7 linked regions of the Macaca mulatta genome follow. The protein of the gene in region 7 interacts with the protein of the main gene of each other region in a pairwise test. Links are inferred from orthologs where the notes say so. Each region holds a gene or a part of one and is shown on either strand. Other genes may lie near its edges. The genes, in order: EIF2B1, JUP, PPCDC, VCP, CDR2, NT5C1A and NTAQ1.

The links.
Region 1: the proteins of NTAQ1 (region 7) and EIF2B1 interact in binary tests that used the Homo sapiens proteins (3 or more experiments, as listed by UniProt). The two-hybrid records come from large-scale screens. The link is inferred for Macaca mulatta from reciprocal best matches to the Homo sapiens genes NTAQ1 and EIF2B1.
Region 2: the proteins of NTAQ1 (region 7) and JUP interact in binary tests that used the Homo sapiens proteins (3 or more experiments, as listed by UniProt). The two-hybrid records come from large-scale screens. The link is inferred for Macaca mulatta from reciprocal best matches to the Homo sapiens genes NTAQ1 and JUP.
Region 3: the proteins of NTAQ1 (region 7) and PPCDC interact in binary tests that used the Homo sapiens proteins (3 or more experiments, as listed by UniProt). The two-hybrid records come from large-scale screens. The link is inferred for Macaca mulatta from reciprocal best matches to the Homo sapiens genes NTAQ1 and PPCDC.
Region 4: the proteins of NTAQ1 (region 7) and VCP interact in binary tests that used the Homo sapiens proteins (3 or more experiments, as listed by UniProt). The two-hybrid records come from large-scale screens. The link is inferred for Macaca mulatta from reciprocal best matches to the Homo sapiens genes NTAQ1 and VCP.
Region 5: the proteins of NTAQ1 (region 7) and CDR2 interact in binary tests that used the Homo sapiens proteins (3 or more experiments, as listed by UniProt). The two-hybrid records come from large-scale screens. The link is inferred for Macaca mulatta from reciprocal best matches to the Homo sapiens genes NTAQ1 and CDR2.
Region 6: the proteins of NTAQ1 (region 7) and NT5C1A interact in binary tests that used the Homo sapiens proteins (3 or more experiments, as listed by UniProt). The two-hybrid records come from large-scale screens. The link is inferred for Macaca mulatta from reciprocal best matches to the Homo sapiens genes NTAQ1 and NT5C1A.

The regions. Positions count from the first base shown.
Region 1 is NC_133416.1:131,055,305-131,059,386, forward strand, and holds the start of EIF2B1 (translation initiation factor eIF2B subunit alpha), read right to left. Parts: upstream 2,801-4,082; 5' UTR 2,669-2,800; coding exon 2,656-2,668; intron 1,815-2,655; coding exon 1,713-1,814; intron 210-1,712; coding exon 73-209; intron 1-72. Other genes in the region: GTF2H3 (general transcription factor IIH subunit 3), read left to right, coding at 2,983-2,995.
Region 2 is NC_133421.1:66,096,254-66,099,753, reverse strand, and holds part of JUP (junction plakoglobin), read left to right. Parts: coding exon 1-138; intron 139-1,523; coding exon 1,524-1,725; intron 1,726-3,500. UniProt on the Homo sapiens protein: Common junctional plaque protein. The membrane-associated plaques are architectural elements in an important strategic position to influence the arrangement and function of both the cytoskeleton and the cells within the tissue.
Region 3 is NC_133412.1:53,003,786-53,006,220, reverse strand, and holds the end of PPCDC (phosphopantothenoylcysteine decarboxylase), read right to left. Parts: intron 1,690-2,435; coding exon 1,521-1,689; intron 1,094-1,520; exon of another isoform or gene 1,092-1,093; coding exon 1,006-1,091; 3' UTR 501-1,005; downstream 1-500. UniProt on the Homo sapiens protein: Catalyzes the decarboxylation of the cysteine moiety of 4-phosphopantothenoylcysteine to form 4'-phosphopantotheine and this reaction forms part of the biosynthesis of coenzyme A.
Region 4 is NC_133420.1:64,659,049-64,662,548, reverse strand, and holds part of VCP (transitional endoplasmic reticulum ATPase), read right to left. Parts: intron 2,238-3,500; coding exon 2,126-2,237; intron 1,929-2,125; coding exon 1,756-1,928; intron 684-1,755; coding exon 541-683; exon of another isoform or gene 506-540; intron 1-505. UniProt on the Homo sapiens protein: Necessary for the fragmentation of Golgi stacks during mitosis and for their reassembly after mitosis. Involved in the formation of the transitional endoplasmic reticulum (tER).
Region 5 is NC_133425.1:21,841,763-21,845,697, forward strand, and holds the start of CDR2 (cerebellar degeneration-related protein 2), read right to left. Parts: upstream 2,801-3,935; 5' UTR 2,726-2,800; coding exon 2,647-2,725; intron 1-2,646.
Region 6 is NC_133406.1:201,123,640-201,127,139, reverse strand, and holds part of NT5C1A (cytosolic 5'-nucleotidase 1A), read right to left. Parts: intron 2,313-3,500; coding exon 2,128-2,312; intron 540-2,127; coding exon 174-539; 3' UTR 1-173.
Region 7 is NC_133413.1:133,837,243-133,841,372, forward strand, and holds the start of NTAQ1 (protein N-terminal glutamine amidohydrolase), read left to right. Parts: upstream 1-1,330; 5' UTR 1,331-1,392; coding exon 1,393-1,475; intron 1,476-4,130. UniProt on the Homo sapiens protein: Mediates the side-chain deamidation of N-terminal glutamine residues to glutamate, an important step in N-end rule pathway of protein degradation.

The sequences.
Region 1 (4,082 bases), on a different chromosome or scaffold from region 7:
CAGGTAATGCTGAGAATGTCTGTCACTAAATGGAGAAGTAGAAAGGTAACCCCAGGGAGAGCAGGTGCTTACGGAGTATTCCAGGGAGGTAAGGCTGATGAAGCGGAGGAAGAGCTCCCCGCCAGAGGACACTGCCACGGAGGAGTCCACACCACACAGGGTTTCTATGGCACTGGTGAGATTCGCCCTCAGGCCCTGGATTGTCTCCCCTGGAATGATCCAAGGAATGTGATGTTCACATTAGGACCACAGCCACGACCTGTGTCTTCAATTCATTCATTCATTCAATGAACATTTATTAGGTACATAATAATGTATATTATTATGTACCAGGCACTGTTCTAGATAAGAGGAATATATCAGTGAACAAGACAGGCCCCTAGGGTTATGATCTGATGGCGTTTTGATTCTAATAGAGGAAGCGGATAGTAAACAAGCACACATAGAAATAAAGCCGGGTGGCCAGGCATGGTGGCTCAGGCCTGTAATCCCAGCACTTTGGGAGGCTGAGGCATGGAAACACATTGAGTAGCAGCGGCAGATGAGTTCTGCAAGGTGGTATGGGTGAGGCTAAGGTTGTTTGGATGTTATTTTAAGAACAATGGGAAGACACTGGAGGTTGCCTTAGAGACAAGCGTCTCTAGGCCTGCCCTTCAGATTAAAGGCCTTATTATTATTTTGCCTATACAAGATTTCATGCTATACCTAGATGCTAACGTTTAGAGTGCTGAATTAGGGGATCACAATAAATAATACTAATACCAGAATTTATTCTGGAATATTCCCTGTAACATCTGTACAGAATCTGGCACAAGGTGGAGGCCTAATGAACACTTATAAAGCTGAACTGCTACTGTAATTTAAGCATCATGGTTAACACAATATAAAATAGTCACTCTTGATTCAAAGTATATTTCACTTATGATAGGGATCCTTTTGATGACAATGTAAGGGCTCTCTCCAGATTGAAAAGTCTGAAATGAAGGCAGAAACTGAGCTTGGAGCTGTACTACTTTATGCAGGCAAACATGCATCTCTCACTTTCTACATTTCCAAGAGTCATGAGAAGAATTTCCTGGCCGAACACAGGCTCATGCCTGTAATCCCAGCAGTTTGGGAGGGCGAGGCGGACAGATCACCTGAGGTCAGGATTTAAGACCAGTGTGGCCAACATGGTGAAACCCCGTCTCCACTAAAAATAAAAAAATTTGCCAGGTGTGATAGTACATGCCTGTAATCCCAGCTACTCGGAAGGCTGAAGCAAGAGAATCACTTGAACTTGAGAGGCAGAAGCTGCAGTGAGCTGAGATCGTGCCACTGCACTCCAGCCTGGGAGACAAGAGCAAAACTGTCTCAAAAAAAAAAAAAAAAAGGGCCGAGCACAGTGGCTCACGCCTGTAATCCTAACACTTTGGGAGGCCAAGGCAGGCAGATTGCCTAAGCTCAGGAGTTCGACATCAGCCTGGGTAACATGGTGAAACCCTGTCTCTAAAATACAAAAAAATTAGCCAGGCATGGCAGCGTGCGCCTGTAGTCCCAGCTACTGAGGAGGCTGAGGCAGGAGAATTGCTTGAACCCAGGAGGCGGAGGTTGCAGTAAGCCAAGATTGCACCACTGCACTCCAGCCTGGGCGACAGAGCGAGACTCCGTCTCTTTTTTTTTAAAAAAAGACTTTCCTAAATCCCAGAATGTTAACAGATGACTCTCTATACCTTTATCTCGCTTCAAGAACTCCAGCAACGTCCGGATGGCAGCCACTGCTGAGGCCATGTCAGGATCTTCTTTCATCTGAGACTTAAAGTATTCAATTAACTCTGGAAAAAGTGAGAAAAGTGATTCATCTAATTCATTTAGCAGCATGTAAGGCAAGAGAGCTTGTTAATGACTGCCGACTTTTTAAGAAGCAAATAATTTAAAAAATACTTTCTTTTTAGGGTATTTAGTTTCAGGGATGCAATAAACGTTGATAGGAATAGAGAAAACACCACTTTGCTGTTTGCAAGAGCTCTTTCTTATTTTGAAAAAGCTACTGGTGTGCAAGGCCTAAAAATTAAGCCCGAGTAAATGATGATGAAAAGTCATTCTCTCTTCAGCATCCTTGGCCCTAAGATCTGAGAGGATCCCAAAGTCAACCACCTTGCCAATTTCTCCTGCACCCCTCCAGACAGTCTATGCTAATACAAGTCTATTCACATACACATATATGTTACAAATACATATGGAGTTCCACCCACTCCCCTTTATTTCTTTACATGAAAAGTATATTAGTTTGCCCTTGTGTTTCACTTAATAAGCATACTAGATGAGCACATCAAATATGCCTTATTCATTCTAATTTTAATGACAGATCCAACAAGGCAGGGAGTCTTACTCCTATTTCACATATAAGGAAATCGAAACTGCGAAGGCCCTTCTGGAGACAGGCACCGGGAAGGAGCGTATGTGTGGGAGGGGTGCCTGCAAATACCGTCAGGGCGCATCCCTGAAAACAAGAGCAGCGCGGGGAATTTAGTTGTGACTCGAGGAAACACATCCAGTGAAGCAGCCTGAAGTTCAAAAGAAATCTCTTCGGGAGCTCAGCCTGGATGTGAGAGGTTGGGGGGACCCCTGAACGGCTCTGCTGTAGCCTAGCAGCCCTGGCCTGTCCTGATTTACCCTTGTCGTCCATGGCGTCCTCCTGCGGCGGAGCCCCGGGGCACCCGAGCCGCCCGCGCTGTCTTGAACGGGTCCGCCGGCCGCGCCGCCTCCCAGCCAGTCTGACAGCGCACCGCACACCTCCGCACCACACTTCCGGCGCACTGCCGTGGCGCACTTCCGTACCCCACAACCGGCGCACCTCCGCATTCCACTTCCGCAGCTTAGGGGGCTGGCATGAGTCAAAGCACCTTGTGCGTCACTCGGCGGCGCCGGATGTTGGGCTGCGCAGCGTTTGAGACGCTCGCCTGACCACCGCTTGTTCTTCGCTGAGGTGCTGGGACAGCCATGGTTTCAGACGGTGAGGACCCTGCAGGGCGGAGTTCGACTCCGGGGCTTGGCGGGCTCGATCCGGCTATGACCGGCCAGATGGAGTGTGTCTTTTGGGCTGGATAGAACCCGTTTGGTCTTTAGAGGAGTAGCCAAGGCATTCAGTCATTCATTCAGTAAATATTTTTGGATCGCCTCCTGTGTGCAGGCATTATTTATTGGATTGTAGCAGGGATCGTGACAGACAGGGGCCTTAGTGGAGGTTACAGTCTACTGGGTGAAACAGACGACAATAAATAAAAATAATTTCGGCCGGGTCACACCCGGGTGGATTAGGCCTGTAATCCCAGCACTTTGGGAGGCCGAGGCGGGAGAATCGCTTGAAGCCGGGAGTTCGAGACCTGCCTGGGCAACACAGCCAGACCCCATCTCTACAGAAAAATAAAATAATTAGCCGGGCGCGTGTCTGTGGTCCCAGCTACTCGGGAGGGTGAGGCGGGAGAATCACTTGAGCCCAGGAGTTCGAGGCTTCAGTGAGCTATGATCGGAGCACTGCTCCCAGCATGGGTGACAGGGCATGACCTCGTCAATAAAAAATTAAAAAATAAATTATTTTTCAAAGGATGAAAAGAGCTATGAAGATCATGTAATAATACAGTCCTAGTTACAATAGTACATTGTGACTTTGAGGAGGCGCTGTTTTAATCGGGGCCAAGGAAAAATGCAGGATATTGAAACCGACTCAAATGATTGTGTGAAGTTCTGGGAAAGTGCACTTTAAGTGCAAGGGCCCTGTGGCAGAGTTACAAGTTACACCGAGAAGGGAGGAATGGAGAGCTTGTGGGTAGAGGATGGTGGGGAGACCCATTCATACATTAGCTGCCACATACACAGTCAGATGTCTTGAAGAAAAAGGAGGCTAGAGGGATGAGATCAGAGAACCAGCCAGTTTCAGGTCATGCAGGGCCTTATTGGCCATGATAGAGAAGTTAGGCTTTATTTTTAGGTGCAAGACAAAGACATTGTAGAGTTTTAAGCCAGGAAGTGTTATGATCTGGTTTGCAATTTTAAAAGATCACTGTGGCTGTTGTGTGGAAAATGGACTGTGGGGAGCAAGA
Region 2 (3,500 bases), on a different chromosome or scaffold from region 7:
GCGCACCATGCAGAATACCAGTGACCTGGACACGGCCCGCTGTACCACCAGCATCCTGCACAACCTCTCCCACCACCGGGAGGGGCTGCTCGCCATCTTCAAGTCGGGCGGCATCCCTGCTCTGGTCCGCATGCTCAGGTACCCACCCCTGCTCAGTGCAGGAGTCCAGGACCCCGCCTCACTTGGGCCTCTCCCCTCCCTTCCCTGGGCTTCCATAAATACCCAGCGAGCAACTATCATGTGCCAGGCAGAGGCACACCCCATCCTGGTGCTCAGTGGCTCACAGCCCAGCAGGGAACACAGGCATGTAAACAGCAGGTTAATGATCAGGATATGACACAGGCTGTGGCAGAAGAGCATTGAGGTTGCTCAGAGGTGGAATCGCTTAATGGCAGGGGATTAACAGATGAGTGGAGTTTGGCTAGTGTGGAGGAACCGAAGAGTGTCCCAGGCAGAGGGAACAGCAAATGCAAAGTTCCTTACAAACTTTCTGTTTCTGGGCCCCCTACAAAATGTTGATTGGTCTCATTTCTCGTTTTTTTTGAGATGAGGTCTTGCTGTCGCCCAAGCTGGACTGCAGTGGCATGATCTCAGCTCACTGCAGCTTCCACCTCCCAGGTTTGAATATTCCTTCTGCCTCAGTCTCCTGAGTAGCTGGGATTACAAGTGTCTGCCACCATGCCCAGCTAATTTTTTTTTTTTTTTTTGAGACAGAGTTTTCCTCTTGTTGCCCAGGCTGGAGTGCAGTGGCGCAGTCTCAGCTCACTGCAACCTCCGCCTCCCGGGTTCAAGCGATTCTCCTGCCTTAGCCTCCCAAGTAGCAGGGATTACAGGTGCCCACCACCACGCCTGGCTAATTTTTGTATTTTTAGTAAAGATGGGGTTTCACCATGTTGGCCAGGCTAGTCTTGAACTCCTGACCTCAGGTGATCTGCCCGCCTTGGCCTCCCAAAGTGCTGGGATTATAGGCGTCTGCCACCATGTCGAGCTCAATTTTGTATTTTTAATAGAGACGGAGTTTCGCCACGTTGGCCAGGCTGGTCTCGAACTCCTAACCTCAGGTGATCCCCCGCCTCGGCCTCCCAAAGTGCTGAGATTACAGACGTGAGCCACCGCGCCTGGCCTCATTTCTCATCCCTATACCAGGCTGGGAGCTCCATGAAGGGGAGACACTGATTTCATTCCCCTCTGAACACCTTGCAAGGCCTCTCTAATATGTGGCCTTCCACATGGTAGTTACTTAGTAGGGATCAGTGTCTAGGGACCTGCTGTGTGCTCAGCACAGGGCTGGGGGCTCAGAAGCAGGAGGAGTCATTGTCTCAGTTGGGAGAAGACAGGTGCTGTTTGCTTCATGCTTAAGAGCCGGGCAGGCTCAAGGAGTGATGAGATTTTAGCAAAGGGATATTTCCAGAGGGGTGTCAGTAGTGGGGAGGCTTCCTGGGGGAGGTGGGAACCCATACCAGGCTCACATGTATGCCAGGCCCCTGGGACCTCGGCATACTAACCCCTGCCCACCCCCCCAGCTCCCCTGTGGAGTCGGTCCTGTTCTACGCCATCACCACGCTGCATAACCTGCTCCTGTACCAGGAGGGCGCCAAGATGGCCGTGCGCCTGGCTGACGGGCTGCAAAAGATGGTGCCCCTGCTCAACAAGAACAATCCCAAGTTCCTGGCCATCACCACCGACTGCCTGCAGCTCCTGGCCTACGGCAACCAGGAGAGCAAGGTGGGCCCTCCCCAACCCTCCTGAGGCCTGAAGCCCACCCTTGCGTCACCCTCTATCCTCCACAGCTTCGGGCTGCTGCCCCTTACTCCTTTTAGATGAGATATAGGGGCAGATGTGCATGCTTCATCATGCGACTGAATTGGTCAGAATTATTATTTTGAGCATAAGGAAAAAAAATCACTCATCCTCATACAGCCACTATTGTCATTTCGATATGCTCCGTTAAGAGCTGTTCTGTGGGCAGACTACAGATGTGTGCACATTCTTGTCATAACAATCTGCAACATTGCATCTGTTTTCTGCCTGCTTTTTTTTTTTTTTTTTTTTGAGACAGGGTCACCCAGGCTGGAGTGCAGTGGTGTAATCAGGGCTCACTGCAACCTTGACTTCCTGGGCTCAGATGATCCTCCCACCTCGGCCTCCAGAGTAGCTGGGACTTCAGGCATGTGCCACCATGCCCGACTAGTTCTTTTTTACTCTTCTTTTTTTTTTTTTTTTTTTTTGAGATGGAGTCTCACTCTGTCGCCTAGGCTGGAGTGCGGTGGCGCAATCTCAGCTGACTGCAACTTCCGCCTCCCGGGTTCAAGTGATTCTCCTGCCTCAGCCTCCCAAGTAGCTGGGATTACAGGTGCCCACCACTATGCTCAGCTAATTTTTGTATTTTTAGTAGAGACAAGGTTTCACCAGGTTGGCCAGGCTGGTCTCAAACTCCTGACCTTAGGTGATCCATCTGCCTTGGCCTCCCAAAGTGCTGGGATTACAGGCGTGAGCCACTGCACCGGGCCCCCGACTAATTTTTTGTAGAGGTGAGATTTCTCCATGTTGCCCAGGCTGGTCTCAAACTCCTAGGTTCAAGTGATCTGTCTGCCTTGGCCTCCCAAAGTGTCAGGATTACAGGTATGAGCCACTGTGTCTGGCCTGCATGATGTTTAAAAAAAATTGTTTTTGCTCTGTTGTCCTCAAAACCACCCTCTAATAATGACAGATTGCCTTTCCTTTCCCCTTTCCCCTTTCTTTTTCCTTTTCCTTTCCCTTTTCCTCTCTTCCTCTCTTTCTTCCTTCCTTCCCATTTCTTCCTTTTCTTTCTTTTTTGAGATAGGGTCTCACTGTGTTACCCAGGCTAGAGTACAGTGGCATGATCCTAGCTCACTGCAACCTCAAAATCCTGAGCTCAAGCATTCCTCCCACCTTAGCCTTCCTGATAACTAGGACTACAGAAACGTACCAATGAGCTAATTAGCACCTGGGCTAAGTTTTAAATTTTTTATGGGGATGGGGTCTTGCTCTGTTGCCCAGGCTACCCTCAAGGAATCCTCCTGCCTCAGCCTCCGAAATAGTGGGATTAAAGTCATGAGCCACCATACCTAGCCTACAGATAGCATTTCATTAAGTGGAGACCTTAGGCTTTATTCTGAGGGAGGGTATTTAGATTGCTCCTATTCCACCTTTATAAACAATGCTGTCTAACGAATTAACGAATGTCTTTGGGCATATAGCCTTTGTCAAAGAGTGGAAAAAATTCTCATTGATTTTTAACAGTTCTAGGCTTTTACCCAAATGGCCAGACTGATTTCCAGAAGGATTGGACTAATTTCCAGTGCCATAACTGGTAATGGATGTGCATATAGTTTTGTCACATCCTTGTCAGCACTAGGTATTATCCTTTTTTTCAAAATTTTGGCTTACATAACAGTCATGAAACTATTGGGGTGGGCTGGGTGTGGTGGCTCACGCCTGTAATCCCAGCACTTTGGGAGGCCGAGGTAGGTGAATTG
Region 3 (2,435 bases), on a different chromosome or scaffold from region 7:
CAACCCTCCTGGCTGCTTACCTGTCACCTGCATAAAGGGATGTGTCAGCTTAGCATCCAGGATTTTCTTTTTCCCAAAATGAGATGGGGCATTGCAGTAAATGTTAGGAAAGCTCTCTGGCATATAAGCATGCCTAGTTTTAACTTCCATTGATTTGACATTTACTATGTTCCAGGCACTCAGTGGCATGGGTATTTTGCACACATAATTTCACCGAATCCTCTCAACAACTCCCTGAGGGTAGGAAACAAGATAGCTGAGGAAAGTGAAGGTCAGGAAGGCTAAGTCCTGAACCAAACTCCCACTGCCAGTAAGTGGCAGAGCTGGGATTGGAACTAGGGGCTTTCTGGCTTCAGAACTTTATCCTTAACCACCATGTTATATGGGGACTAAAGAGTACCAGTGAGTCATCAACCCAGACCCTTCCCCAGCCACACCTGGCAACACCCCCTGGTCTCTGGGACCACAGTTGGGTTATAGGGAAAGAATGGAGCCTCCTAAACGGTGATTGTTCTTTATTTCCCCGCACCTTCAATCTCATGGCATGGTCTGCAGGAAACCTCAGAGTCCTGCCAACTCGCAGGCTTCGCTGATCGCATGGCATCTGGGCACCCCGCCAAAGAGCTGAAGCTCCCAAGGCTCAGCCAGGACTCTCCAGCTGTGGTGTTTCTAAAAGTCATTCTGGGTGAGATGTAGAGCCGAGTTTTCCCAGTCGCTCAGTCCTCCTCCAGTGAGGACAACACTGCTTGCTCTCCTGGCTTGCCTCGCCCATCCAGGAAAAGGTGGGGATGGGCTCTAGGCAGCGGCCTCTCTTGGTTGAAAGAAGCTGAGACCTGAGCCTTCTGTCCAGTATAACCTGGAGCAGGCCCAGCCCCTGGGGAGGCTCAGAGCAGGCCCCCCATTCAGCAAATAAGGGAATCCTCCTATTTTGCCAACATCCATCTTCACCAACTTGGCCTGAACACATGCTGAATACAGAGGGACAACCATGACAGAAATTCCAGGTCAACTCTGCTGGAAGCCACTGTGCTGGAAGAGGACTTCTTTCACTTTGTCCACGATGGTCCCCACTTCAGCCATGGCCCCCAGACCTGGGAGCAAAATTCCGCTGTAGCCAGACAGGCAGACAGTGCCTGTAGCCCTGCAGACCCCTGCCCATTGCTCCCTGAGTGCTCCACCGAGAGCCCAAGGCCTGAGAGGGCAAGGTCTGTCTCTGCCTGAGTCAGACACATCATATCTCTCCCGAGACCCCCGGTGAGGCCCTGGGAATCGTTCCAGTGGCCATCCTTAACTACGTGTGGGCTGCGTGCCAGGGACTCTACCATGTACTTTACATGGTCCATCCCATTTTACCCTACCAATCTGGAGGCAGGAATTACAATTCCCATTTTCCAACTGAGAAAGCTAAGCTCAGAGAATGGTTTGCTAAGGTCATAACAGGCCAGGAACTGAACTGAGATGTGACCCCAAAGCTGAGCCCCTTCTACGGCCATGGGCTATGAGCCTGGCAAGACACCCACCTTCGTCTCCACACACCAGCTTCTTGGCCACACAGGGGATCTCGACATAGCCGAAGGCCTTGAGCTGGTCTACCTGCTGCGCTGTGATAGGGTGCTCCCACATGGCGGTGTTCATGGCCGGGCAGAAGAGCAGGGGCTTGCTGCGGTCCCAGGCCCGGATGATGCAGGTCTGTGAACAAAGCCGGGGAAGTGGGGGTCTTGCTACTCTGTCTGCCACCTTCCCCACTGCCCTCCAGACCCTGCAGCCAGCAGCCCAGCTGTGGGCTTGAGATGAATGGGCACAGCCTGGCTGCAGAGAACTGTCTCGTCTCTCAGGGGTGGAGGCTGTGTCTCCTCGCCTCTCTCCACCTCCCCACAGGCTCTGGCACAGGATCCTACAAACAGGAGGTGCTCAACCAACGCTCAGACCTCCAGCAGGTATCCCTGTGCCTAAGCCTCCTCCAGGTAGGCTCACACCTCCTGGGAGAAGCAACCCTGGGGAGCAGAAGGCAGGCTTTTTTGGTTACACCAGAAAGCAAAGGACGAGGCTGCTCCTCAGTGGGGCCCATCTACCCGACATCAGCTCTGCAAGGCCAGCTAAAGTCTGGCAATGAAAACATCTGCCGTTACCAAAACCTTCTCATGTATAGGATCTCATTAACCCTCACTGTGACCTTATAAAGAAGGTGTTGGCTGGGTGCAGTGGCTCACACCTGTAATCCCAGCACTTTGGAGGCCGAGGCAGGCAGATCACAAGGTCAGGAGATCAAGACCATCCTGGCTAACATGGTAAAACCCTGTCTCTACTAAAAATACAAAAAATTAGCCAGGCGTGGTGGCAGGCACCTGTAGTCCCAGCTACTTGGGAGGCTGAGGCAGGAGAATCGCTTGAACCTGGGAGGCGGAGTTTGCAGTGAGCCGAGATCACACCACTGT
Region 4 (3,500 bases), on a different chromosome or scaffold from region 7:
ATAAAAAAAAAGAAAAGAAAATGAGACTAGGCATGACGGCTCATGCCTGTAATCCCAGCACTTTGGGAGGCCATGGCAGGTGGGTCACTTGAGACCAGCAGTTTGAGACCAGCGTGGGCATCATAGTGAGACCCCATTTCTTTTTTTTTTTGAGACAGAGTCTTGCTCTGTCACCCAGGCTGGAGTACAGTGGCCTGGTCTTGGCTCACTGCAACCTCCACCTCTTGGGTTCAAGCAATTCTTGTGCCTCAGCCCCCCAGGTCGTTGGGATTACAGGTGCCCACAATGCGGTTTTGCCATGTTGGCCAGGCTGGTCTCGAACTCCTGGCCTCAAGTGATCCACCCGTCTCAGCCTCCCAAATCGCTGGGGTTATAGGTGTGAGCCACGGTGCCCAGCTGACCCCATCTCTTAAAAAATAAATAAATAAATACAGGAGAAAAGCATAAAAGATTAAAAAAAAAAAAAAGAAAACGAGACGAAGATGTTCCAAGGTTTATTAACTACAGTCAATAATCCTTAAACTCAGAATTAGCTCTCACCTTTCCGGATGGGTCGATAAGCTTCCAGGAAGTACGGCTTAAGGTATACCTCAAAGAGATTACCAGTAATGCCTTCCACTGTGTCATCAATGGGCAGCACGTGGATACGTTTGCCGTACTTCACATCAGGGCATGGCTGGATGCTGAGGATGACAAGCAGACTCCATATTACCAACCACACTTCGGGCCCAAGCACTGGGTGTCCAAAAGGGCCTGGCACAGATAGCTGATAGTAAGTGAAAAAGAAAAGGCAGGATGGCTTTAGGTGAAGAGAGGAAGGAGAACACCGTGGAAGTGAGGGCAAAGGAACAGCCCCACTCACTTCTAATCAGTGAGCCAAAATCAAGAGCCACACATTTAGAAACCCCACAAAGATATGCAAGGTCTTCAGTGAGATATCCAAGGATGATCCCCTTCTAGCTAATATCGGTGACCCAATATTACAAGGGAAGGTCTTAAGCTAACAACTGTCGGGGTCAGTGAAACAGAAGTGAAAAAAACAAAATTATCTCAGCCAGGTGTTCAGAACACCTTGAGGAAGTGACTAAGCACCCCCAAGAAGAAAGCTACATGAAACTTAAGACTCCATCAAAAAGAATCAAAAGCCTGAGATGATCCTGGCCAGGTGATGGTTGGTTGGGTAAGAGTGGCTAGAGATGACTCCAAGATGGGGCAACCTCTTGCCTAAAATTATGCAAGAACAAGCAAAATCACTCACATTGAGAACTATCCTGGGTCTGGCTCCAACTATTCCTCTCTCCCGGGTTCACTTAGGGGCTTAAAAGGCCTGCTAGCAGCTCACCTTCCATGTCCATATCCCCACCTCATTCCAACCCCAACGCAAGCCATTAATTGGACATACTAGTGAGAGTAGTGAGGAGGTTATTTGGCAGATACATACACACCCTCGAGTGGTATCCTAAGCTAGGCTATAAGTATGATAAATTACACTTCTAGTAGGAAAAAATAAAGGCACCAAGAAAGTTACAGGAATGCCAATTTGTCTCAAGCGACCTGCAGAAATGGATTTTGAAGTCCCAGGAAGGCAGAACCAAAACCTAAAGACAATCCTGAAGCATAAGTCTTCCCATGACCAGCAGGCTTCCTGCATCGACAGGTTCCAAGAACTTGGTCCTGCCAGTAATACATGGGTACTGCCTGTAATGCAGGCTATCTCTGGCCTCCCATCCCTGTGGAGCCAAAAACCCCACACACCTGATGACATCCCCTAGGCGTACACGAAGGTTATTCCGAACAACTCTATTCATCCGAATCTTCTCATCAGAACAAGTGTCATCAGAAAGGACGATGCAAACAGCTTCTCGTCTCTTCTTTCCTTTCAGCAACACTGTGTCACCTCGGAACAACTGCAATTCATCCATCTTGGGCTGAGGATAGAAAGTTAAGGCCTTTGGGTCACTGGGCAGAAGGGGAGTAAGCAACAGCCCTCGAGATTGGGATTCCCAGTAAACCCCACTCTATCTGCAGTCTGCAAATACAAATATCTGCAAAATGAGAAAAGAAACCTGGGCAAATCCCTCAAGTAAGTGCAGTAAGGAAAGACTAGTTTGTGGCCCCAGCTTACCTGGGACAAGGACACCACACTGTTGTCCTCATTGATGGCTTCATCAACAATTAACCGATTGGGACGGTTCTTCTGTTTGAGAATGGCTGTTGATAGGTCATCACCTTTTGAACTAGAAGCAGGAAATGGAGTCAGTCCCAGTAGATACTCCTGCCCCAAGGGCCTCACCAGTCTCTAAAACTCATACTTAGGAAACAAACAGTGAATAGATGAAGCTGTCCCTAGACCAGAGAGCGCGGATGAAGGAAAGGCAGCCAAGGTCACGAGGAGCAGTATCTAGCATACATATTACAATACCCATTCCGGCAGCTCCTGGTATTTTGAGCATCAGTGTCCCAGCTATAAGGCTCCAAGTGAGTGATCCTGCCCCAAGAAGACATAATAGAAATGGAGACTGAAGAGTTATTAGAGAAATAAAAATAGTCTTAGACTTATAGAAGAGTGGTTAAGAGCAGGAACTCTATAATAGTCAGACCCATTGGGTCTGAATTCCAATTCTGCCACTACTTAACTGTGATCTTGGGCAAGTTACCTAACCTCTGAACTTTGATGTCTTCCTCTATAAGAGAGAGACTATAATACTTACCTCAGAGGCTTATTGTCTTAAGGGAGATAATGAATGTAAAATGCTTAACATAATAGCTGGCACATGGTAATAACAGTCACCATGATTAACAATATAAAGCATAAGCTAACTTTCCAGGGAATGAAGTAAGCCAGACAATTTCCCTTGAGGCTCGGGGAGCTCTCAAGTCCTACCAAGCAAGCCTGGGGACAATGAAGCAGAATTATTGGCGCTACCCTCCTTATAGGCTAAACCTACTGATGCCAGGGCATTCCATAGTACCAAAGGAATGCCAAGCATAAAAATCATCATATGGTTTCCATCATATTTGGAAACAACACTAACAAACATGAAACTGCCAGAAAGAGGCTCAAGGTCAAAAGGAACTTCACAGTAATTTCTGCAAAAGCACACAATTCCATAAAGTTGGCTCAAAAAACCAAAACCAAGAAATGCTGAAACACTGTGCAAATACAAATCCCTCTCATCCAAATCAAAGTTGACTGGGTCTATACTCAGTTTGTTATTTCCTACAAGACAGGGTCATTCACCAGACAGTGACACCAACTTATTACCTAGCCCATCTCCAGCTGTCACTTAGTAGACTCAAGTTCTCTCTCTCTCTCTCTTTTTTTTTTTCTTGAGATGGAGTTTCGCTCTTGTTGTACAGGCTGGAATGCAATGAAGGGATCTCAGCTAACTGCAACCTCTGCTCCGCCTCCCAGGTTCAAGTGATTCTCCCGCCTCAGCCTTCCCAGTAGCTGGGATTACAGGCATGAGCCACCACGCCCAGCTAATTCTGCATTTTTA
Region 5 (3,935 bases), on a different chromosome or scaffold from region 7:
AGCAGCTGGGACTACAGGCGCCCACCACCATGCCCGGCTAATTTTTTATTTTTTGTATTTTTAGTAGAGACAGGGTTTCACCGTGTTAGCCAGGATGGTCTCGTTCTCCTGACCTCGTGATCCACCTGCCTCGGCCTCTCAAAGTGCTGGGATTACAGGCGTGAGCCACCGCGCCTGGCCAGACCTGTGTTTTTAACGTTAAACTTGAAGAGTTGATGACTTTATTTTGATCAGAGGTTAAAGAGAATTCCACCTGTAACCCTGACACGCTGCACTTGCTGCTTGATAGACTGAAGTGTTACAGCTGGTGGTTCCAAACAACCTCCAACAGTGGGAGAACGCAGCGTGGACTAAGGCACCTGATGGAAGAGAGCCATGAAAACACTTCTGTGATAGTGCTTCAGTGCAGTTCAACAAATACTAAAATCGAGCTTCCAGTATGTGCCAAGTATTATGCTAGATGCTGGGAATACCAGAAAAAAGAACCTGCCCCCTCTATACCCTTAAGGATTTATGCTTCTTAAATTTTTTTTTTTTTTTAAGACAGAGTCTCGTGTCGCCCAGGCTGGAGTGCCGCGGCGCCATCTTGGCTCACTGCAACCTCGGCCTTCTATATTCAAGCAATTCTCCTGCCTCAGTCTCCTGAGTAGCTGGGATTACAGGCACATGCTAATTATAGGCACGCCTGGCTAATTTTTGTATTTTTAGTAGAGACGGGGTTTCACCTTGTTGGTCAGGCTGGGCTCAAACTCCTGATCTTGTGATCCACCCGCCGCGGCCTCCCAAAGTGTTGGGATTACAGGCGTGAGCCACCGCACCCGGCCTATGCTTCTTAAATACAGGAAAGAAAAATATTTAGTTGTGATGATACAAATTAAATTATAGGGAAATACTGCAATGGCACAGTGGTTGCCTCACAAATCCTGGAGAAACTATCAAACTAGGCCATCAATCCCTATGGGGAAATCTGAAAACAGGTTTGTTAAAACGTATGAGAAATGTGTCCTTTGGACATAAAGATGATGCCACCAAACACTGCACTGCAACCACTAAGCAGCTTGGACTCTATAAGCGTAATAAAGGTGAATTACTTTGGTTAAAGTGATTGCATGTTAATTTAAGAAATTATCTTCCTCCAAAAGAGGTGCTCGTTTTATTTTCCTTTTCTGAGTTACTCAAGTCTACACAGTTTCCTTCTGCCATGTTCAGTGGTTAGCATGAACAAGCATCTGCCATGTTCAGTGGTTAGCATGAACAAGCATCTGCCATGTTCAGTGGTTAGCATGAACAAGCATCAGCATCATTCAATATTTAACTAAATGAGATGTTAATTTTCACTGCAAGATTAGAGCTGAAAACATTTACATAGAATTGCAGAAACCAAAGATGCCGGGAAAAATTCCTGAGGATTATTCACAGTGTTCAGTATAGCGGTTAAGAATGTTTGCTCTCGAGTCTTAAGGGGAACCCTAGCACTCCCCAACATTATCACCTCTATTGTGTTACTGGGAGATAAATGAGCAACTCTGTTATGGGCCTATCAGTGTTAGGCACATCAAAAGTGTTCCCCAATTGCTAGCTCCTGCTATTAGTATAAAAAAAAGTGGGGCCCCACTGGCCCCAAAGTGTTGGCTGCTCTATGATTGTTCTCTGGAGACACCATCGGCAGGCCTATTTCTAAGTGAAAGCTGGCATGCAAACTGAAGAAAAGTGGCAGAGGTAGAAGCGCTCTTCTGTCATTTCAACTGGCATCTGGTGAACTATGCGTAACAGCTTAATTCCCAACTGAAAAAAAACTGTTAACTAGGATGGTAAGGAAGGGATGGGGGTTTGAGGAGTGACTACAACTCCTCCTTTTGAGTGTGTGGGTTCAAAAAACCACTCCCTCCCCCACTTAGCTTTAGGCAAGCCACTCAACCGTTTCAACCTCCGCTTTCCTCATCTGGAAAATGGGATAACAAAAGTTACTCTCAGTGTAATTGGATTGTTTGTACCTCAATGGATAAATGCTGGAAGGGATGGACGCCCCGTTCTCCATCACGTGCTTATTTCACACTGCGTGCCTGTATCCAAACATCTCACGTACCCCATAAATAGATACACCTACTATGTACCCTCAAAATTAATCAATTTTTTAAAAGTTACTGTCTCCTAGAGTTACGGCGCAGAGCGCACAGCTCCCGCTACATCGCAAAACCACTACCACCTGCAGCAGCCGGCCCTCCGTGCTGGCCAAGAAAGGCGCTGGGCTACACAGCCTGCGAGGGGGCGGCTTCTCGGGCTCTGCCACTTACTACGGGACACACTGGCTCACCCGGTCTGCCTCGGAGGAATGCAGTGAGGATTAAACTAGCTAATCCACGGAAAGCGCTTAAAACGGTGCCTGGCGCGTCCCTGGCCCCCATGCGCCTCGGGTCTGATATTCAACTGCGCATTAGCAGGGCCGTGGGCCCCGCGCCGAGGCTTCCTGCGGGCGGGATCCACGGGCACGGCCGGCCCCGCCGCCAGGTGAGCCCGAGCCCTTCCCGGCACCTGCATCCTCAGCCGCCAGAAAAAGCAACTTTTTAACAGTTTCGCAGCGGGGGCCTCCCGGGCCAGGCCGCCGCCGCCGCCGCCCGCCCGCCCGCGGGGCGCCCCCGCCCTCACCTTGCTGGAGGTCCTGGTGGTCGTACCACGGCTCGTCCTCCTTCATTTCAAACTCCTCCACCAGGTTTTCCGCCAGCATCTCGGCTGGGTCCTCTAGGGGCAACGGTCCCCGCCGCCGCCGTCCCGCCTCAGCCGCTGCCCCGGGCTCTTCCCCGGCCCCTCCGCCCTCAGCCAGAGCCGCCCTCGGGCGGGACGCGCCGCCGCCCAGGCTCCGCCGCGCCGCCTCAGCCCCGTTCCCGCCGGCGACCGCCGCCGACCGGCCGGCTGCTTCGACTCGCCTAGCGCCTCCCAACGGCCCCAACGGCCGGGCGTTACGGCGCGAACGTAGGGAGCCAGGTTCTCACGCTGCCGCCGGTCTTCACGCCGCCGCCGGGCCCAACGTGGCACTTTGGCAGAACCCTCCCCGGCCGGGGATGCGATTCAAACCCCCGGCGGCTTCTCAACCAATCGCGAGCGGGCCGCTGGCCGAGCGACAGGGACTTCGTCCAATAGCGTCTCTCCAAAGACCCGCGGCTCGCCCGGTTTCGAGGCCAAGCAGCCAATGACGGGCCCCGAATAAACAAAGAAGGCGGGGAAACAGTGAAGGGGTGCGGCCGAAAGCCCGCCCCCTGATCTGCGCTGTGCGGCTCCTAGGAGCGCGTACTAGGTTCCGGGCTGTGGAGCTGGCGGAGGCGAGTCCTGCCGCTTTGGTGGGTGTCCCGAGGCCAGCGCGTCCGTGGACAGGCAGCGCAGGCCGGAGGGCCTAGGACTTCGGCCTCTGAGAGGCGGGCGGTTGTCGAGAGGCGTCCTTCGTGCCGGCGGGAAGCGCGAGGGTGCCGGAAGCCGGAGGTCCGCCGCCCGGCTGCCGCTTCTCGCATGTTGACTCTGAGATTTGCTCCGGGTCCGGCAAGGAGACTCGGAGTCGATCGGGAGTTTAGGGCTGAGAAAACGCCCACTGAGCGGTAGCTCTTGTCTCGTTGACATCTGAGCTCTGGGAATTACGCTCCCTAAAACGGTGGGCGCCAGACCCCGTTGAGAATCTGGGGCAGTGAGGGATGCCCGAAGCTGTCCACTTGGAGGGGGAAAATTGTAAGCAGGGTTGCAACGATTTTTAAAAGGTACCTCTAGACCACAAGTTAAGCATCTGGGGACGTGGCATTGCACCTGGAGGGGTCAGGCTGCAGCCCCAGCACTTAGTAGCCAGCAAGGCAGAGCACGCTGTCCTCCACCGACATAACCCAGCAAATACTGCTCATGAGTAAAGCTTTTAGCACCATCTTACAGACAAAGCACGGAAACTCTTAAGCAGG
Region 6 (3,500 bases), on a different chromosome or scaffold from region 7:
GTTGAGAATGCCAGTTCCGTCTGCATAATTTCCTACAAGTACATCACTCATAGGGATGCGGGCAGACAGGCAGAAGCACAGAACAGTGAGAAACTAGAGGGATCTACCAGAGGACGTGTCGAAGTATTTCAGGGAGCCTGGAGCAATGTGGATCAGTAAAGCTGGTGGTTCAGCTACTGTGCAGATGGGGCCTGCTTTGCAGGTGCAGTCCGCCGGGGTGTCTGTGCCACGCCATAAGGCACATGGGCGGCCACAGTGCCCATCTCCTGAGCACCAGCCACATGGAACATCTGGTCATCAAAGAAGATGTGTGGGCGGATCTTCTCTAGGAGGGGGCCCTTGGGCGCTCCAGCGAGGAACAGGGCTTCATCTGTCTCCAGGCCCCAGCTGCGCAGGGTCTTGAGAGCCCGGGCCCCAGAACTGGCTGCACTGCGTGCTGTCACCAAGTAGGTACGAATTGGGCACTCCAGCCGTAGGCCTTTGGAGTAGAACTTCTTCTGCAGCCTACCCAGTGCCTCCAGAAAGCCCTTTAAGGGGCCCTATGAGAAGGCAAGGGGAACACTGTTAGCTCTACCACCTCCCAAATATTTGCCCCCTGCTCTCCCTAAAGCACTAGTGTCTTGTTTGGTGTGAAAAGTTCAGGATCCCTCAATCTTTCAGTTAGTTCTGCTCATGCCTGCTTATGCTGCTGTGTGCGCCAGTGGGGCTCCAGTCAGGGGAACTGTGTTATTGCATACTGGTGCAGGGTCAGAATAACTCTCAGGGCAACTGTTGATATGTATCCTCCATCCATATGCCCATCAAGGTATACAGATGTCTGTCCTGAAGCTCTGTAAGTGTGGCCTTTTGTGCCCTTCAACAGGGAGGATATTAAAACTAGTAACTATGGCAATGGGCACCCTTCAATCAGAATGGACTCCAGCTGTAAACAGCTGGAGAAGATGGCCCAGTGTGTAACTGTTGAGTATCAACCGTGCCCATCTGGCACCCAGGTGGCTCAAGGTGTCATCCTCAAGCTCTCTAGGGTCAGGGAAAGAATTTATTCTCTACAGTGCCCAGAACAATGAAGCTTCCTGAGGATGTGAGAATAAAAAAGCAGACGACAATGAAGAAAACTGCTTATTTCCAAAGCAGCTAGAAATAAACAAAAGGGGGCTCCTCGTCTTGGAGACCTCTTGCTTGCTAGGTGAACTGGAATAAGCAGTGGTCTCCTGGGCCTCTGCTTACCACTTAGTAGGATAACTCTCCTGCCCTGGATTCCCAAGGATTTCAGAGGCAACTCACAAGAACAGATGCGAACTGAATATTTAGGAGCCACAACTGAAACCTGCTGAGCTCTTGGAGCGGGGGGCTCTGAGATTATTGAGCATGCAGCTTTTTGTTAAAAGCTCAAATAGGAGCTCCCAGCAGAGCTGGAGAATCCAAAAGCCCCAACTCCAGGGAATTTCCACCAAGCTCTAGGGTATATTCTGTTCTGAGAGACACTGAGCAGTTTGAGGGTGAGTGAGTGTCCCTATGCCCCCAGCTAAGGGATGGATGGCAAGAGGTGTCCCAAAGCAAATGGTCTGCCCCAGATGCCACACCCAGCTGGATCTCCCTGCCCCAGTGAGGCGTCCCAGTCCAGCAGTTCGTTTCCTCCTGTTTCCAGGGAGGGAAACAGGCTTCTTAAGAGGCTGGGCATGCTCTCAGAGGGGTGGGGGATCTCAGGGGAGGAAGTGAGGGTTCCAGAGAGACGATGGGAACTTCAGAGAAACAGAATGAGGCCTTCAGAACAGGGCAGGGACTTCAGAGAAGGGGGGGATGTAGAGAATGGGGACATCAGGCAGGGAAAGGAGACCTCAGAAATGGGGATTTGAGCTGCAGAGAGTGGGTATGGGCTTAGAGAGAGGCTTAGAGAATGGAGGCTTCAAAGTGGGGTTGGGACTTCAGTGAGGGGATGTGGGCTCGACAAAGTGGGTGGAAGCTCATTGATGGGGGGCCAGTGGTCAAGTGAGAGGGTTGACGGGACCGGGCTGGAATCTGGGCTGAGCCTGGGGTTTGTTTGGTTCCGGGCTGGGAGTGCAGGCCAAGGGCGGATCTGGGGAGCTGCCTTGTTCCTCTCAGGGGTTCTGGGTCTCTATGGAGCACCTGAGCCAGAGGTTTGTTCTCGTGGGCCTTCTCATGCTCGAAGAATCGGTCCAGCCCGTGGGCCTTGACGATGCGCTCCGACTCATCCGAGAAGAGCACAGCGTCCCCGTCGAAGGCCACGCGCAGCTGACTCTGGGACACAACCACGTCCCTGCTGGGGCTGAAGATGGTGGCAGCTGCGATCCCTAGGCAGAGAGAGGCAAGTATTATCTGCCTTCAGGCTGGGCAGTAGGGCCAGAGCGGGCTAACTTAGGCTGTCCTTGCCCCACCTGCCTCATACAGGACTCAGGGCAAGGCTGATAAAAACTAATATTTAAAACATGTAAAAACTGGTAGTGCATGGATCCTGGCCACGAAGAGGGCAGCAGCAGTGGCTCTGAAGCAGATCTCTAGGGCCCTTGCCTTGCCAGGTTACCCTGTTGGTTATTGCTTTGTGGAAAAGTCTGGGAGGAGTCCCGGGGAGGAGGAGGGCACTCAGGACTCAGGGCAGGAACTATTTACCAACCAGTGTGAAGGAATTTCAATACTTTAACCCCTAGTAAGATCATGCTGCTGTGGACCAGCCAAACGTGAGTCCCACCGGCCACTGCCTTCCTGCCAGGGGTGCTTTACAACCCCTGCTATAGACCTACATTGGGGCTGGAAGGAGCCCCAACTCTGGTTTGGCCTCAGTCACTCCCTCACCATTGGTTCTAGCAAGTCACTCACCTTCTCTGGACCACTGTAAAATTAAGGGCCTCTCATCTCTGGGGCTGAGACCATAGGCTGCAATCAGGTGAGGTGAGTACGGGCACCCTCAGTCTACAGCCACAATGACACCCAGGTATGCCCTACTGGCAGCTGTTCAGGGTTCCAAAAAACAACCTAGGTGGCCCTGGGAGACAGCACAAGTGATGGCTAGTTGTGTGCACAAACTCTCTGCAACCCCGGGCTCCTCCAGGGATCCAAGGATGCCTCTCAGGGGTTCAGGCTCCAGGCTAGAGCTGCACTAGATGGCAGAAAGCCAGTGCTGGGAGGCTGGAGACCTGGGCTGCTAGCTGAGCCCATTCCCTAGTCTCCATCTCTTCAAAGACCACTTCAGCCCAACTCTTTGAGAACTGAGGATCACAGAGGCTGGGCTTAGGTGAGCTTTGGGAGGAGTGAGCAGTGCTACCCGCACACAACTTCACTAGCCTGAGGATGCTACAAGCAGGGCCAGTGCCAGGCATCAAGCCAAGCACCTTCTCAGCTCTGCCAGCACTGGAACCAAGATGATCCAGAACCACCTCTACCCTCAGCAGGGCCTTCCCGTGGACCATTATCTTGCTCCTTAGCCTGAGGTCAAGTTACGAACACACAGAGGCACACCTACATGCCAGTGCCAAGGCCCCAAC
Region 7 (4,130 bases):
CAATGTAAACATCTCAGTTTTTATAATGGGAAGTACCCTGATTAGCGAGTTATCCTCATTGCAAATATAAACAATTCAGAAGACTGTAAAGTGTAAAGTCCTTGAAACTGAAAGTCCCTGATATTAATACTATTCATTCACCATAGATAAATTCTATTTTTTTTCTTTTTTTGAGACGGAGTCTTGCTCTGTCGACCAGGCTGGAGTGCAATGGCACTATCTTGGCTTACTGCAACCTCCGCCTCCCGGGTTCAAGCGATTCTCCTGCCTCAGCCTCCCGAGTGTCTGGGACTACAGGCGCGCGCCTCCACGCCCAGCTAATTTTTGTATTTTTAGTAGAGACGGAGTTTCACCATTTTGGCCAGGCTGGTCTCGAACTCCTGACCTCGTGATCCACCCGCCTCGGCCTTACCAAGTGCTGGGATTACAGGCCTGAGCCACGGCGCCCGGCCCTAAATACTATTTTAACAATATGGTGTCTTTTCTTCCAGACTGCCAGTAAATGAACAAACACATGATTAACACAAAAACGATACCATATGGACTCTTTAAACTTTTTTTTTCAAATTTACTATATCAGGGAATTAATATATCTTTTCGAGCCAATAGATATAGGTCTTCCAATTTAAAAGATTAAGTTACAATAGAGTGAGATTTGGTGTGCTATCCCTTTCGGAAAGCGTCCTCGATGCGGTCATATTGGAATTAACCTCCACTCCCCTCCTCTTCTCTGGGCTCCCGCGGACTCCAGGCTGAGTGCTGAAGTGTGGATTTTCACACCCAAACCTCTGTTATTTCAGTGTCTCACCTGGCTTCTCCACAGCGCAGAAGCTCAGCCCCAAGTTGGAAGAGCCTCCCCGGGAGATTCACAGCGAAGCGCTATTCAGGGCCCAACTCCAAGCCCAAACCTAGCTCCACCCTAAGCCGCCGCCAAAGACCCCTCTTCTCCCAAACCTCACCGGGGCCCCGCCCCTGACTCCGCCCACGAGAGCCCAAGCCTCCAGTCCTGCCCCACCCCGGGCTCCACCCACCAGCCGGGCTCCGCCTACCCGGAAGCACGCAGTCCTCCTCGTCCCGGGCTCCGCCCACCGGGAGTTCTCGCCGCTCACCCCACCCCGGACCCGCCCACTTCGCTTGGGCTCCACCTTCCCAGGAACTGGCGCCGCTTGCCCGAGCTCTGCCCATTTCGTCCCCGGCTTCCCGCGCTGAGAACTCGTGCTGCGAGCCCCGCCCACCGCGCTCCTGGCCCCACCGCCCGGAAACTGTCCCGGCCGCCCCGGGCTCCTCCCACCCCGCCCTGAGAGCCCGCGCGTGCCGCTACACGCCCGCCCTTTCCTACGTGTGGTCCAGTCGGTCTTCCTCCGGCGTCGGCGCTGGCTGAGCTAGCTGGCCATGGAGGGTAATGGCCCCACTGCCGTCCACTACCAGCCGGCCAGTCCCCCGCGGGACGCCTGTGTCTACAGCAGCTGCTACTGGTGAGGGGGCGCGGGCGCAGCCTCTGGGTCTCCCTGGCTCCCGGGCCGCGAGTTGCAACCAGGCCCCGCCTCTTCCCGGCCCCTGCTCGGGGGCGCTCCCGGCCTCTACCGGCGGGTTCTACAGTTCTGCGGGAGTAGGGAGCGGGAATGGCAGCTCTTGTCTCTTGAGTAGAGCGTGGGCTGTTGGATGGGGTTGGGAATTCGTCCGGAATCCTAGGGTCGATAGTGCATTACCTGTGCCTGGCGCTTGTCGGTTGGATTTGCTCAGCAGATCTCTGCTTCGGGGCTAGGGAGGGTGGAGCTCTGAAAACCTTTGGAAGTTACTCTGCTGAAGCATGTGGGGTTTCAGACTGAGGCGAAGGTCATTTTAATTTTGGAAGAGAATGGAAGCACAGAGAGTTTGGGATAACTTCCCAAGGTCACCCAGCTAATAGCAGCCAGGAATCCAGTTCGGGCTCTCTGGCACCAGAAACCATGATCTTAACCATGTTGTCATTATAATAATGGTTACATTCACACAGCCCTTGCTATATGCCACGCGTTGTTCTGGGTGGTTTAGGTAAACTAAATCACTGAGTATCACAATAACCCTAAGAGGTAGGTATTGTTATCCCCAGTTTAAAGATGAGAGCACTGAAGCACAGAGGGCTGCAAGTAATTTGCGCAGGGCCACATCACTTGTGAATGAAGGAGTGGGGATTTACAGGCAGAGTCTGGCCCCGGAGTCCATGCTCTGCACCCCTGTCCTAGGCCACCTCTGCAGCTGAAGCACCGCCCCTGCCTTGGTCCTTTTTCATTCCCATGCCTACTCTTTCCTGAGTAATGGTTTCTTCCCCAGCTTCTTCTAGTCCTTGCACAGGAACCCTCAGTGCTATCTAAAACTACCCTTCCCCCTTCTGCTTGTCACTAAATCAATGCCACCGAGCATTTGTTCGGCCCTGATTGCATGTCAGGCTCAGTGGCAGGTGCTTCCATCGATGTCCATGAGTAGCTTCTTTTACTATCGTTATCCTCATTTTACTAATAAAAAGAGTGAGCCACAGAGAGGCTGTTGTGTGCCCCCAGATCACACATCTAGCAAGTGGTGGTGCTGAAACTGGAACATCTTCGTGATTTTGAAGTTCATGCATCTTAACTGCTGCACTCTTTTTCTGTCCTGCCTCTTCTAAATCCCGTTAGTTCTCCTCCCTAATGTCCATTGTTTTATTCATTCATTCAATAAATGTGTATTAGGCACTTGGAGTATGTGGCCCACTTCTGGGCACTGGAGATACAGCAGTGAACAAGATGGACAAATTCACTCATGGATCCCTTGGTTCTTGTATTTTGATGAGAGAAAAGCAGATAAGGTCCGGTGCGATGGCTCACGCCTGTAATTCCAGCACTTTGGGAGGCTGAGGTGGGCGGATCACTTGAGGCCAGGAGTTTGAGACCAGGCTGGCCAACATGCAGAAAGGCTGCCTCTACTAAAAATACAAAAATTAGCCAGGTGTGGTGGCACACGCCTGTAATCCCAGCTACTCGGGAAGCTGAGGCAGGAGAATCGCTTGAACCCGGGAGGAGGAGATTCCTGTGAGCCGATGCCACTGCACTCCAGCCTGGGAAACAGAGCGAGATTCCATCTCAAAAAAAAAAGGCAGACAAAAACAAGTAAACCATGTTTGGGTGGTGTTAAGTGCTGTGAGAAAAATAAGATAAAGGATGGTGGCTTATTTTCTATTAGGATATTTTGAGAAGACATTGTTGATAAGGTGATATTTGAACAGAGATCTGAAAAAAGAGGGTGAGAGCTTTGCATCTATTGGAGGATGGTCATTTAAGCAGGGAGAACAGCAGGTACAAAGGCTCTGAGAAGGAATTGTGCTGTATGATAGAAACAGTGAGGAGACTGGTACAATTGGAGTATCAGAGTTAGAGCAGTCTTGTAGAAGAATGGTAAGAGTTGACCACTCTACCGCAGGATTTCTCCGCCTAGGTTCGAGTGACATTTTGAGCATGATAATTCTTTGCTATGGGGGCTGTCCTGTGTATTGCAGGACATGTAGCAGCATCCCTGGCCTCTACCCACTAGATGCTGTTAGCACCCTAGCTCTAGTTGTGACAACCAAAAATGTCTCCAGACATTGCTAAGTGTCCTGTAGGGCTTGGGGGGCAAAATCGCCTTTTGCTGAGAAACAGTGCTCTACCCTGTCTGAACATGTCAGGTGGGGGCACTGCACTACTTTGGCTCCTGCAGCTTTGTGGGGTTTTTTTATTTTTGAGACGGAGTCTCAGTCTATCACCCAGGCTGGAGTGCAGTGGTGCCATCTCGGCTCACTGCAACCTCTGCCTCCCAGGCTCAAGCCATTCTCCTGCCTCAGCCTCCCGAGTAGCTGGGACTACAGGCACCCACCACCATGCCCGGCTCATTTTTGTATTTTTAGTAGAGATGAGGTTTCACCACAGTGGCCGGGCTGGTCTCAAACTCCTGACCTGAGGTGATCCACCCGCCTCGGCCTCCCAAAGTTCTGGGATTACAGGCATGAGTCACCATGCCTGGCCATCCTGCAGGTTTTTAAACTTGAAATGAGTGCCTCCTGTCTACTTCTGTTAGCTTCTGTCATGTTAGCTTCCAAATGTTACTTATGCTTCAAGACCCTGCTTAATGATAATAGT